2 linked regions of the Styela clava genome follow. The protein of the gene in region 1 binds, or shares a complex with, the protein of each later gene. Links are inferred from orthologs where the notes say so. Each region holds a gene or a part of one and is shown in the gene's direction. Other genes may lie near its edges.

The links. Proteins that work in one complex are often made in the same cells at the same time.
Region 2: eukaryotic translation initiation factor 3 subunit M-like (region 1) and eukaryotic translation initiation factor 3 subunit H-like share a complex: the UniProt entries of both Drosophila melanogaster proteins name them as parts of the eukaryotic translation initiation factor 3 (eIF-3) complex. The link is inferred for Styela clava from reciprocal best matches to the Drosophila melanogaster genes eIF3m and eIF3h.

The regions. Positions count from the first base shown.
Region 1 is NC_135252.1:4,104,883-4,111,824, reverse strand, and holds the start of eukaryotic translation initiation factor 3 subunit M-like, read left to right. Parts: upstream 1-3,907; 5' UTR 3,908-4,073; coding exon 4,074-4,115; intron 4,116-4,464; coding exon 4,465-4,597; intron 4,598-5,230; coding exon 5,231-5,369; intron 5,370-6,150; coding exon 6,151-6,274; intron 6,275-6,942. Other genes in the region: large ribosomal subunit protein uL15-like, read right to left, coding at 636-807, 1,416-1,491, 1,558-1,621, 3,352-3,354. UniProt on the Drosophila melanogaster protein: Component of the eukaryotic translation initiation factor 3 (eIF-3) complex, which is involved in protein synthesis of a specialized repertoire of mRNAs and, together with other initiation factors, stimulates binding of mRNA and methionyl-tRNAi to the 40S ribosome.
Region 2 is NC_135257.1:9,053,733-9,060,785, forward strand, and holds the start of eukaryotic translation initiation factor 3 subunit H-like, read left to right. Parts: upstream 1-3,946; 5' UTR 3,947-4,072; coding exon 4,073-4,123; intron 4,124-5,300; coding exon 5,301-5,454; intron 5,455-5,848; coding exon 5,849-6,016; intron 6,017-6,143; coding exon 6,144-6,243; intron 6,244-6,891; coding exon 6,892-7,041; intron 7,042-7,053. Other genes in the region: uncharacterized protein LOC120345504, read left to right, coding at 1-583, 695-795, 1,050-1,140, 1,330-1,503, 1,649-1,976. UniProt on the Drosophila melanogaster protein: Component of the eukaryotic translation initiation factor 3 (eIF-3) complex, which is involved in protein synthesis of a specialized repertoire of mRNAs and, together with other initiation factors, stimulates binding of mRNA and methionyl-tRNAi to the 40S ribosome.

The DNA.
Region 1 (6,942 bases):
AATGAAATAAAGGAGAACAGGAAAAGACTGCGAAACACCAGAAGGGTGTTTGAGTGTATGATCTCGCATGACAAAGTCTCCAATTTTCCACGTTTTTTAAAAAATAAAAAAATAATAAAGAAAGATAATGTCGCAAAGCAATAAGCAGAAGTAGCGACAGCAATTGTTATTTAGATATATGTTTGATTATTATTTTAGAATGCATAAGAGCAGTTTGCCCATCTAGAATGGCGGGCCATGTAAGTATGACATAAAAGTTAAATTTTATGAACAAAAAAAAATTGGTGTTACAAAAGCGAAAAAGCCTTGTGACGAAACTAAATTAAATCGCAGTCTCAATAAATTCCTCGAGACATTTTTAGCTAAAACATCAAAATTTGGTTTTAGTTGATTGTGGCAGCCTCAGGCGGACCACATTAAATTACCCAACGAGCCGGAATTGGCCCGCAGGCCGTAGTTTGCCCATTTAAGCATATTGAAAATTACCACTTTTGTTTCTTATGGCAAAAAATGTTACTCAAACAAATTGGTAGGAAGTTCATTTACCTCAAGATTCCTTTCAGTTCAAAGCATACCGGTAATTATTAACAGATCTTTGTCACAGTAATAAAAAATATAGAATATATATAACTAACCGCTCGGACGACGTCTATAACTGGAGCAACATCTTTCTTATCCTTGTAGTTCAGCCTAGTTTGTTCGCTGACAAGTGACCACAATCTGTCGAGGTTCACAGTTGGGCAATACTGCTTGTTACGGTTCATATTGTAAACTCGCATTCCAACCTTACCGAAGTAACCAGGATGGCTATAAAACAGTAATAAATCCTTATATTAAAGTAATAATTATATTTAATATCTACAAAGTAACACGGTACACAAAAAACTCTTGCCAAATAAGACAATCATCCAGTGTTGGTGTCTCGTACCTCAAGCACTCATAACGATTTTTTCACAAGTCAATCATAACCCCCACCTGACTGCGTCACCCAAAAATTATGTCACAACCGTGTCATAGAGCTTGCCAAGGTATACCTCTGATCGCCTGTAATGGCATCTGCGCCGACGATGAAGAACTTACTAACGGCAGATCTCTCTCACATTGGGATTGTTGTGACGCATAAAATAGCTTGTTTGATTTCAGTTAAAAGTGCGCTTCTTGGATGACAGTTCGTATAGTTTGAAGGGCCTTATAAAATCATCGTGACTAATTTTTGGATGACAGTCAGGTTGAGGTTAGGATTGACATATGGAAACAATTTTCAAAACAACTAGAAGTACGAAAATACACTAGACCCCAGTGCTGTACATTCTTTGTTTTGGCACACAAACGTTAGTTTATCAACACAAAATGTAACAAATAAATTAACGTCCACAAACATTCAGTGAAAGTAAAAAACTAAATTCTGATATTACAATTTATCATAATTGATTCTGTGGTGATGTTGTCCACCAGCGTTTCCTCTACCACCAGGATGCTTGCGATGTTTTCCTGTAATCAAGATGCAATGTTATATTTGAAGTTTTGAACAATTTCAGAATCTTTTCATTCACTTACCAACTCTACCATGGCCGTGGCTCACATGGCCACGTAACTTCCTCGTCTTCTTGAACCTGGAAACCTACCAAAAAGAATATACGCTATTAATTTGTAGTAAAATATTTCATACTCAGCATAGACCGCATCTATAGACAAAATTTGGGATATGACTTGGTGGCGAGTATAATATTAAATTCATCCAGTGAACTTTGTGATAGCCCCTTTCAATATTATGAAAATGAGGACCTCCCACGGAACAGCAAACCACTAAAAAAATGATGACTTGAAAATGAAGCATTTTAAAGATAATACTAATACACAAATTGGATATTTAGGGATTTGAATTTCGTTCAACAATGTCCAAGAGGAATGTTACCTGCAGTCAATTTTGAATACAACCATGAGTCAGTCCATTACTGGTAGCAAACCATTACAGCATTAATAATTTGTGCGTTTTTAATACGAATGGCACCGACGAAATAGGATTCTTGTGTAGTTTCGTTTGTATGTGTCATTCCAAACCCCCACCTGCAACCTGACTACGCCATCAAATATTACATCACTGTGCTTCACAGTGACGTAATAAGGCCCTCCGAAATATACGGATAACCATCCAAAATTTAAGACGATTACCCGAAGTCTGGCAAGCTTTTTCTCTTGTTGTCTCGCCGTAGCTATGCCAATTATGACAGGGATCGCTGGCGTTCGTTATTGTCAGTACAGCACACTATACAAATTCCAAAAATTTCCCTCCATTTGGCTCTATAAAACAAACACTATGTGTCTCACAAACAAGTGGCGTCTGGGACCACGTCAGATGCGTCATATCACACCATGGTTCTCTAATAATAATATAAGTTAATCGCGGCCGTCACATGACCAAAATTGCCGTTTTTTGCTAAAAACTCTCGAATGCTACTGTAAAATTTTTTTTCCTTCAGTAAATCGATCGTCTTTTCCCAAGGAATACAATGATGACGTTACTAGATTGCGCTTTTTTATAGTATTCAGCGCAACTTCATTATACTGTATTATTACCAATATTGAGGGACAACAATGTCCAGACGTCTCCCAAAGGAGGGGTGTTTGATCATCTGTAAAATGGGTTTCCCTGAAATGGGACAATGTCACCCGAATTGTATAATGTGCCGTACTGATTGTGGGCAATCACTGGCGTTTGAGCAATCAAGACGAAGTTCTCGGACGACGTAGTCAGGTGGGGGTTGGGAATAAAATATGCAATGACAAGCCCAAATAATAAAAAACAATGATACAGTAATAAACAACACTCGACCAAGAAACACCACTATTTAATAATATTATCCATGTCTCAGTGTCCTGTTACCACTTTATTCAGAACAAAGGGTTATAGACTATATAACGTTATACATGATTTCTGTATATACCAAGTATGTTGATAAATTATACTGGTACCATACACAAGTTACCAACAATGGTACGTCTGCACACGCAGCAGCATAAGTAACTGCTTCATCAGCTTACTTCCAAACATGAAGCTTTGCCCCAGATTATGGCAAGTTGTGGGTTTAGTTTTACGACAAGAACTTGATTTGCCCCAGATAGTGGCAAGTTGTGGGTACTATTTCACGTATGTCATAATAACTTTGTTCCTGTGCCAGTACTCAATGAAGATCAGTATTATCTTCAACTGACAGATTCAGCGATGATCAAGACCTTGAAATTGATTTTCTTTTTAAATGAAAAAGATGATATAAACAATTCGCCGTTTATAAACTGTGATACAATCAAAAACTGAAACGATGTCAATGGATATAAATATAGACCGCTCACCATCGCGCCTCCCGTAACCAAAAGGCAGATGAAGTCGATTCGTTTTAATTCGTACAAGAGTCAAAAATCGATGACCCGTATCGATGACCAATAAAGTTTGTTAGTCTTTTTTCTTGCACCTAATCATTTGATTGTTTTTATTAATTTTTTTGATCTCAATTTTTGACTCATATATAACATTTTTCGGTTTATGTCAAAAAAATATTGTGAAGACTACTTTCACATTTCACGAGTCGCTTTTGCGGCTCATTGTGCGCATTGACTTCGGCGACGAGGCGCATGCTTTTCGACCGGTGCTTTTCACGATTTTCTATTTGAGACGCTAAAAACTGCCAAATTGAATAAACCACATTGTGGAAACATAAAAAAAATAAGACTTTCATATTGAAATATTATCTTCCACGTAGATATTATTTTTCATGTATATATATATATATATATTAAATAATGAAATGATTTATTTGAACATGAAATTCACAATGTCGTTACACACATGTAACATGACCAGCATTTATAGAAGATTCAATGTTGCGTTTGAGGCGTGGAAGGGACATGAAAGTCAGAAAGTAGGCAAGGAAGCAAGGGTTTTTAGGTTTAGCAAAAACAAAACTAGTAATTCAGTAATTACAGAATAACCTGATCAAAGTAGGTACGGTAGCGAAGTTGTGTGTTGGAAGTGGAAAAAAACTTGTACTCTTAATTTCAAGGTTAAATACTGAAATATGAGTGTTCCAGCATTTATCGATCTTCCTCCTGCAGATCAGGTAAAATTTTAATCTGTTTGTTTCAGTATTTATACTTATTTTGATGTTTCTTTATTAAAGATGTTCTGCAGTTGCCAGTAGTTTTCGTATGCTTTCATGTTGGGTTGTCAAATTTGTCATAAATTCAGTATTCAGATATTACACAAATACAGAAATAAGCTGATAAAACCCTTGGCACCTTAGCATGTTAGCAGAATCCTGAGATAAGTGATTAAATGCAATCAATTTATGATTTTTATTCTCTAGCAAGAATATTTCTTAATTCGATAAGTAATTTTTTGCAAGCTTGCAGCAGTATGGTGTGTGCTGTATTGAGGACTTGAAGTTAATATTTTGTCATTTTCTTTAGGCGAAGGAATTGCGTGAGTATCTAAAGTCAATTGGTGCAGAGATTGATATTGAAAACAAAGAAGATCTTTATGAAAATGTCAGCGAGATAATTAAATCAACAGAAATTCTTTGGAAGAATTGTGACATCAGAGGTATATATTCCAAGAGTTGTAAAAATTTTATATGACATGACATGACCCATCGTAAATTTGGGATTTGTCAGTTTGTTGACATGGGTTTTAGAATGTTTGCCCTCCATTAATTAGCTACAGGGATGGTGACTCCTCTACGGCCCATGGCCCATCTAATTGGGCCCATGCCCCATCAAGAAAAATTCAATTATCTTGCCAAAATTTTTAATATTCGAACCAAACAAAAACACGGGATGCCACCAATTTTTTTTTACAATGAGCCTTTATATAAAAATAAAGCAGAATACCAAGCTACAGAAAAGGATACTCCTGTAGTATGTGTACCAGGTTAGGCTTAGGACAAAATTTTGTTCATATTTTTAACATTATAGTTCTATTATGAGTTCAGGGACTGTCTGTGTTAGCCAAGTGAATAGTCCCTTCACACAACTTGATGGGCTATGGCCCATAGCCTGATGGGCCGAGGCCCAATTTGATGGGTCATGGCCCCTGCCTATGGGCCGTAGAGGAGTCACCACTTTCACTCTTAATCAGAGCCTTATGAACTATGTACAAGGTTTTGAATAATATTCCCAAATAGTGTATATTGTCAAAACATGTATTCATTCAATTTGTTTTAATGTATATTTGCAGACATTGAAGGAGTAATAAACAGCATTCTTTCTTTACTTTTCGTCATTCCTCCTACAAATTGTACGCCACTGATAAAAGTTTTGTGTGACCAACTGACCAAAGCTGCAGAATTTGGCAAAGCGTCTCTCTCTATGCGATTGTAAGTAATATAAAGAAATTTTTGCAATGCAATTAAGAGTAAAAATATTACTAAAGAATGTATATTTTGCACTATCATCCATAATCCATGAAGTGTTTCTGGTTTGAATAATATCATTTTACAGATAACTTTTCAAACTATGGGCCATTGTTTCTGGGTTAGTTTATCTTGATATCCTCATCAGCCGTTTTGTCATATTTCTTAAGTTCGTGCTTCCTTAGTTTCATTTTTATATCCTAATGAAATCTATCCAATTCAGATCCTGGTTTTAATGTTCCACAATGTGGATTAGTAAATAATATCTATCAATATATTTTTGGAAATATTTGTTCTCATATTTAGTTCGTCGTCTAAACGTTGCAACCAAGCTCTCACTTATCCCACATTTGTCATAATCTTGTCACGATTGTTCTCATTGGAATATCGCATTATATATGGATACTCCAACCTACTGCCACAATGTTATATTTATTCAAACAATCACATAACATGATTTCCACGTCATATTATGCTTAGTTTAACCATTTGTCCCACAATGCATATTTACCCTAACACAAAGCAGTGTGGGACAAGTGTACTGAAAATGGGACAAGTGGGACACAATCAATACCTTTTGGTCTCCCATAGTTATTCTTGTTGTTTGGATAAATGTGAACATTTGTTTTTTTTGTTCTATGGTTGGAATCCTTTTTTTGAATGTTCAAATAAATTGATGTTGCTTAACTATAGTTGTCTTGTTTATTTAGAGAAAAATTTAAAAATTAATTTTACTACTTTACAGATTGCATAATTTCTTTCATGGTTACGACATCAAAACACCTTTTCTTTATGATACATATTGTGCGTGGTTGAAAGTTGCTGGAAGTAATGGAAGCATTAATCTTGTTCCTACCGATTTAAAAAAGGTATGATCTTAATTATCATGATTTATTCAATAAAATATTTACGGTATGTGGATTCTATGAATAGTCATTGAAACATGCATAGAATAGTAGAAAAATTAAGTAAACACTGGTAACTGGAGTAATGGGAACCTAATTGAGAATATCTTTATATGAGATATCATAAAACTAGAACCTGTTTGAGTCCACTTTGAAACAGTCCTAAATTTCATAGAAATTCTAGTAATAAGTTAGTGCCTTGACTCGACCATAATTGAATAAATGAGAGATATTTCTATGCTTGACTGAAGAATTCTAATCTCGATTGTGTTAGTAAGCAGCAAGCAAGACTCTTGTAGCAAATAGAATTGTCATTTTAATACCTCCTGCTGTAGCATTATTTGCATAAGGATCCACTAGCACAAAGGCAGAGAGTTGCATAATTCCAAATGACAGTTATAATTGGTGTTTGGAATGAAAAATTAATTTTAATTCAATTGTGTTAGTATAGCATAATAGTTCATTATTCAATGGAAGTCTAAATAATTTAATTTGGTTATGAATATACACAAATTTGAATTTTCATTTAGTTACATAGTTCTATTTTCAAACTTAAGAAAACTCACAATTTTTCAAAAATTAATTAATTGCTTGAATTTAATTTCAAAATGAATTTTATTGGAATTATTTTG
Region 2 (7,053 bases), on another chromosome or scaffold:
CTTTTAATCATGATTACGTCAAAGGCCTTCAATTCGAAGATCAGCATTTGTCTCAAGGTGGCGCCCCGGAACACATCGCAAGTAGTCAACGATTACCTGTAAATGATTCCTATCCTGCGTGTTATCCCTACTATTTTGCCGAAAATATGTATGCAGATGAATACATGGATTCAGAATGCAGCCCAAACTTGAACACTGGAAATAAAATGCCACCCTATGCGCACGAGGACGCCAAGAAACCCGACTATGGTGCAAGCCCCTCAAACAAGAAGCATACAAAACGCTCAGATGAAGTTGCAGATTTGGAACCTAAATTCCGATCACCCTGGGAACTTGTGCAGAACAAAAAGACAATGCCTGAAATGAAGTCTATCGTCGCTAAAGATATGTCACTGCATCAACCGTCTGATGAAAAGAAACCGTCACCTGCCGGAAATAAAGACTTGAAATCCCCTTGGCAACCCGTGTGGAAATACAATTTTCCACATCTTCTGATGGAAGATACGCAACTAGATCGCATCATAGAGCTACCGAAGACAAAGCATGGAGGAAAAACATTCCAAGTCATTCCAAGGCGACGAAGGTAAAAAGTCCATAGGTCATGGAAGCATTGCAAGATAAACGGAATTTCTAACTTGTTTGGATTACATAGCCAACTTCATGTTTATGCATATATTATTACGGAATTTTTCAGGTCAGAATCACCTTCGCCAGGAGGCAAGAGATCTGTCGGAAACAATCGGCTAGGAACTCCATTTGTTGACAAACCGGTAACTCGGTCTGAACCTGATGGAAGTGAGTTTATATATTGCTTCACGAGGAGATTGACGATTTAGGCAAAATTTAAATGATATTTTTGCAAAACCATGCCGATTCATAACTTCAAATTTTCATAGTTACGACAGAATGTAAGCTTTGCCTAAAAATCCTATTGCTAAATCTAATAAACTGGACAACTATTCTCTTGCAACTTGTACAGGCATGGTGTAGTATTGGCCAGTACATCATTAAAATGATATTAGTGAAAATATCACCTACAACTTTTCCAGATTCTTCTCCAAAATGTGAATCAATATGGAACAAAAGTCGACAAAGCAAAACTTTTTTGAAGGATAATGTTACGAAGCAGATTGCTAGAAGGTACATACACAATTGTGTCTCATTTCGCCTAGTTTATTAAGTAACTTTTTGTCTTCACTACCAATTCATTATTATTTTAACACTTTTCGAATAGAGACAATCTCATAGCTGTTTTTATATTAGGTACTAAACCACAAATCATTGGTTGGAAACGTTTTTTATATATCCGAAACGTTTATACATTGACAGGCAAGAAAACGGACACACGTTTTTGCAATTAGATAACAATGGTTCATTAGAATCTCCTTCTCCAAAGGTACTTTCTTATAGCCGACATTTCACGCCGTCCCCAGTACACCAACACTCGCAAAATGAAAGTGACACAAAGAAGGAAGAATCGGATTTTTATGCGAACCAATACAGGTATTTTGTAATAAATTTTACCAAGCAAATCAAGCCCTAGCCCCTCTTATGAAATTATGTCCGACTTGGACCATAAAATTGAATAAGGCATAAGCTAGAAAGATGCAATAGAATTGCAGTGTTTTTTATAAATCATTTTATGCAGGCCTTATCATGAAAGACCCATTTCCACTGCCTCAGACAAATCACGTGATCAAGAGGAAATATCTGAGAGGACAACAAGGCCTAATCATAGTTTGAAATCAGAGAATTCATACAGAAAACTGAGCAAAGCGGTCAATTTTGCTCCGAGCACCTTTCCTCGAATGCCCCCACCATCTTATAGAGAATCTGAAATGACGGACGGAGTTGAAGATTTTGTCGAGAACAATGGTAGATACTTTGACAATGGAGGATGTTTTTATCCGAACGAATTTGGCATTCGGAACCCACTGGGTATGAGCAGAGAAAACGCGTTTGTAAAGCGACAATAATAGAGCCGATCTAGATGGCCTGAATTAAGTAAAACGAAGCTTGTAGACATGTGGCTGATTTCTTTTATTTGTTATAAATTTGACAATATTGTTATTTTATAAACACTATAAATTGTATATATTACTAGCTTTTTTACATGTCATTTCTGCAGTTCCGGCAAAATTTCACTTTTCAACCATGCCGTTTCGATCATAATGTATGAATTAAATTGTCTCTGCTCTTTAGAATGAACGATATGGTATATACAGTAATGGGTGTCTCCAAAATGTCGTGCCCCAATGTACCACGTGTCCAGGAGAAGTGGGACACGTGGTACCCGACATTTTGGAGTCACCGTACAGGTATGATATACCGGGACGTAATAATGTTTTTCGCAGCGAACTATTGTCTTGTGGTTTGTTGGTACCGAACGTGGTTTATCATCATTTAAACTGGATAACTTGCTTTTCATATATCTCCTTGTAAAATTATTGTGCGTAATGGCGTCTTCAATAAAACATCTATATTTTCATTCGATGTGGATTTTGGCATTAATATTTTACAGCAACAGCAAATGCTATGTTCAGATAAAAATATTTAATTCACAATTGAACTCCAGGCACCGGCTGTGTTTCAGCTATTAGATTAAACTACCAACTTTCGTGATATAAACCAAACTGCTCTCTGTCCAAATGACTCTTCTGAGAATGCAAAATACTAGATAAGGGTTGTTAGATTCAGTTAGAACAGGGTCGTCCAACCCGTGGCCCGCGGAAGTATTTCGAGTGCCCCGCGCTGTATTCTTTAGAATTCATTAAAAAAAAAGTTGAGTATATTTATCATTCGAGTGATGTAATGTGCAAAGATATGATACAAACGATATGCTTATTTTCCTGAAATGCGCTCTGCCACCCCTTTCAAGATGCAATAGTCGCTACGTATATACATAAAAGCCATAGCACATACATAAAAGCGAGCTAGCCCCAGATTGAAAATTCGTTAAGAAATGTATTTTTCGGGTTGTCAATGTTTCATGTCCGGAAATAAAAAAAAGGCGTTTGCAAAAATAGGCTTGTCAAGACAGACGGTTCTCGTCTTGTTGAAAAGCTTGGGAATTCTATAGCAGAAACTTTAATTGCAGTGGCCCGCGCACTTAATAGTAAACTAAATGTGGCCCTTCAGTCAAAAAGGTTGGACGACCCTAAGTTAGAATATGGGATTTGTCATTTTCTGGCAGTATTTCACTGTACTGTAAGTTCATCATCTGGCAATGATTTTAAAGTCATATTGTCTCCACGCACTCCACGACTCCACGCACAATGAAATGATTCGACAGTGATCCTCCCATCATATTTGTTGTCCACTGTAGGATAAATTTGTATAAAAACAACAAAATTACGATTAGCACAGTTTCACAGCCATAGCACAAAGATATATATTTTCATTGCATAGCACAAGGAGCTAGCCTAGGAAAACGGCCTATCCAACAAATCGCTGTAAATAGATGAGTTTTGTATAACTTAGCTTAGAAGGCTATAATATCAAAAAGTCAAGAGTTTAGTCGTACCTAAACTATCTATATCTACCTTTAGCATTTCTCCTGGATTATACAGACGCCCCCTCAACAATATGCAACCAGTGAGCGCTGGCTCCTAGAAACGATTGGTCGGTTAAATGTTTCGTGTCGAAAATACGCTACCGGACGCGGCACATGGAACAACAATAAAAAACAGTACTCGTGAGACGCCAGCGGAATACTGTTTACATTTCCCACCGGGGAATAACGAGTTCATAAATTCAGATGTGTGAATAGGTTTGCTAATCGTCAAAATTTCATTTTACAAAATACTAAACTATAAAGGGTAATTAAACTTTTTAGAGTGTTTTAATCACAATATACTTGCACAACAATCGTATTCAACTTTTATTGAAGCTGAAATTTTATCCGCATGGGATACAGTTTGATTTCGCCATTTCACCAAACAGTGATACTACAGACACATGTCACGGTCGCATACGCCACTTTGGCATACACTACAGCTGCTTAATTTTGCGCGTTGCAGGCTTTTGTAGTTTTAATCGCAGGTCTCCCTTGTTTTTTCATTGATTCTTTGCGATGGATTTGGGAATTGGAGCAACGGTTAAAAATGTTCAGATAGATGGTTTGGTAAGTTGTTGCTTTTTTTAGATAAAAAAATCGTTACAGTTAATGCCTTTCAATTTTATATTTGAAAACTCAGAAGGTTGACACTCAATAATACCGGTATCGGTACCCTGCAAAAACTCCACCAGTCCACGGTACCGTACCATATGTCCGTAGTCTATGTATGCCTGACCTCTATTGTATATTTAAAGAGGTGTAGGAAATGGAACATTGTAACTACCGGTATGTCTGCATGTAAAATAATAATTCTACTGTTATAATGTCTTTAGTGTATAGTCTACCCTCTGACCAGTGATAAGCTGGAAAAATCATAACAACCGGAACGCACCTAATTGCAAAAATGTAATAGGCCTATATATATTTGCAACACAACGCGAACATTTACAGAAAGTTTTGTCTGTCCTAAGATAGAGCCGAAGGACTGCAAGGAAATATGAAGAAATTATCTGAAATATGTCGGTGTAAAATTACAAGAATATTAATAGCAATTCAACACAAACATTATTATTAGAAAGGTATAAAATGAATTTCTATGGGGTCAATGGTCCGGAAAACATCTATGACGCGCTACTGCTGTACTAATTATTTGCGTGATGTGATGTAAAAAGAATTATGAATTATGATGTAACAAAACATGAATTAATTAACTAAGATTACCAGAGGAATCGACTTTTTGTACCATAATTTTAAATCAACAACAGGAACGCAAATGCAATAAAATGTCCAACAACTGGAATGCCTTTCCGGTGCGTTCCGGCTACAGCTCACCACTGCCTCTGACCCTAGTAGACATCACAATTGCATAAAATGACTTATTAGGATTTACATATATTTATCTCGGGGAGAGGAAATCTGGTGAGACGGCTTAATCATATAACATACCTCAGCCTCTCGTCCAGTTACCAGTCCATGTTGTATGGGATTGTTAGCCTGTTATTTGTTTCAAATACATTGACTTGCAGATTTGGTGGTGGAGGAAGCTGTAAATGTGAAGCGGTTATGTTAACCACCCTAGGCCCCCAGGATTCCAGCAATCCTTTTAATTATCTCCAACAGGATTTGAACCTGAGAACCCACGCAGGGTAATCAGAGGTGCGGTGGTGAGCGTATTCCTATTGCTGTAACGCTTAGCACGATACGCCATACCACCAAGATTTATGTACTTCATTTTATAACACAGGTTGTCATGAAAATAATCAAACACTGTGAGGAGGACAACACCGGACCAGAACTTGTGCAGGGAGTATTACTTGGACTTGTTGTTGGGGAGACTTTAGAAGTCACCAACTGTTTTCCGTTTCCTCGTGTCCCTGAAGATTCAGAGTTCGATGAAGGTTGGTTACAGTACTAAATAATTTGTTTTCTTAATTTGGTTTTTATTATTTTTTTGAGATATTAAGTTTCATAGGGCTTGGGATGTTCGTTTGTGCATACTCTCATTGATATTAATTTTTTTATCTTTTTATATATTTACTATTTCTTTTAATATACTAGGGATTACAGTCCAAGTCGCAATCTTTTCTTGTTATTTTCGCTATTTATTTTTATTTTGCTATTCAACTTATGAATCCCATGAATATAAAACTAGTAGGCCTATCAAACTAAACATTTTTAATTACTCAAATTCAGAAAAAAAAACTAGCAATATAATGAAGCCCTTGAATTACATGTTGTAGTATCACGATGAAAGTTTTGCAGAGCTTATGATACTTATTATACCCTTTACAGTTCAATATCAGATGGATATGATGAGATGTTTACGTCATGTTAATATAGATCATTTACATGTTGGATGGTATCAATCATCATTTCATGGAAATTTTATCAACAGACCTTTCCTAGAATCCCAGTTTTCATATCAGAATGCCATTGAAGAATCTGTTGTCCTAATATATGGTAAGATTTCTTATATAGCTTTTAATGTTCGGATTTCTATGTATTGAATGTATGATGTATCAAAAATTAATGTTCTTTTTTTGTGTATGAAATAATGTATTTACTCTGACATAAAAATCCTATTTAGATCCACTGAAAACAGGACAAGGAAATCTTTCACTAAAAGCTTTCCGTCTTACTCCAAAAATGATGAAATTGTATGAAGCTGGTGAATTTACAGTAGAAAGGTAAATATATGTTACACTCATAAGGAGATAATAACTATTGCTGTGATGATAACAGTAGTGTGGAGGTTGCTATATGCCCATACACTGTAATATGTATGATAGGATTGGTTTTAAATATTAGCCATTTACTTCATGCACTATTTTCTATTTTGTTTTCTGTTGTTGTCATTTGTTAGAAAATTACTTCGATTGTTTTCAAAGAATCACCTCATAATTTTTGTTATTTCTAATTCAAACTTCCTTTCTCCATTACATGGATAATCTCAAATAATCTATACTCTCGAAGTATGTGAACCAAGATGGCGGACACCGGAACGTAGTTTGTGTTCCAAGGGAGGGTTAGGCCATAATTTTATTCCAATTTTACTCATTTAGTTATATCGGCTCGAGGACTAGCCAAGTGACTCCCGTAGTATTTGTAGTTGAAATTAACTGGTAAACATACTATGTACCGGTGTCCGCCATCTTGGTTCACATACTTCAGGAGTACAAAAAAAACTAGTGTCCTGTGTCCATATCTTATTTGTCTGTCAAGTATACTCTCAGCTGTTCGTTTAGTTTGGATTTGGATAAAACCTCTCTCATAGTTGCCGGTATTTTATTGTACTATTCTCAGCTAAGGTAATGTGATTTCTACTTTATTTTAAGCCTTAAAGCTCAGAAGTTGGGCTTCACAGATGTATATGAGGAAGTTCCTATAAAAATCAAAAATTCACCTCTTACTGGACTCATGTTGTTTAAAGTAAAAGATGAAGATCCAGTACCGGAAAAAGTTAATTATTTGAATCTTGCTCACAAGTAAGTATAAAC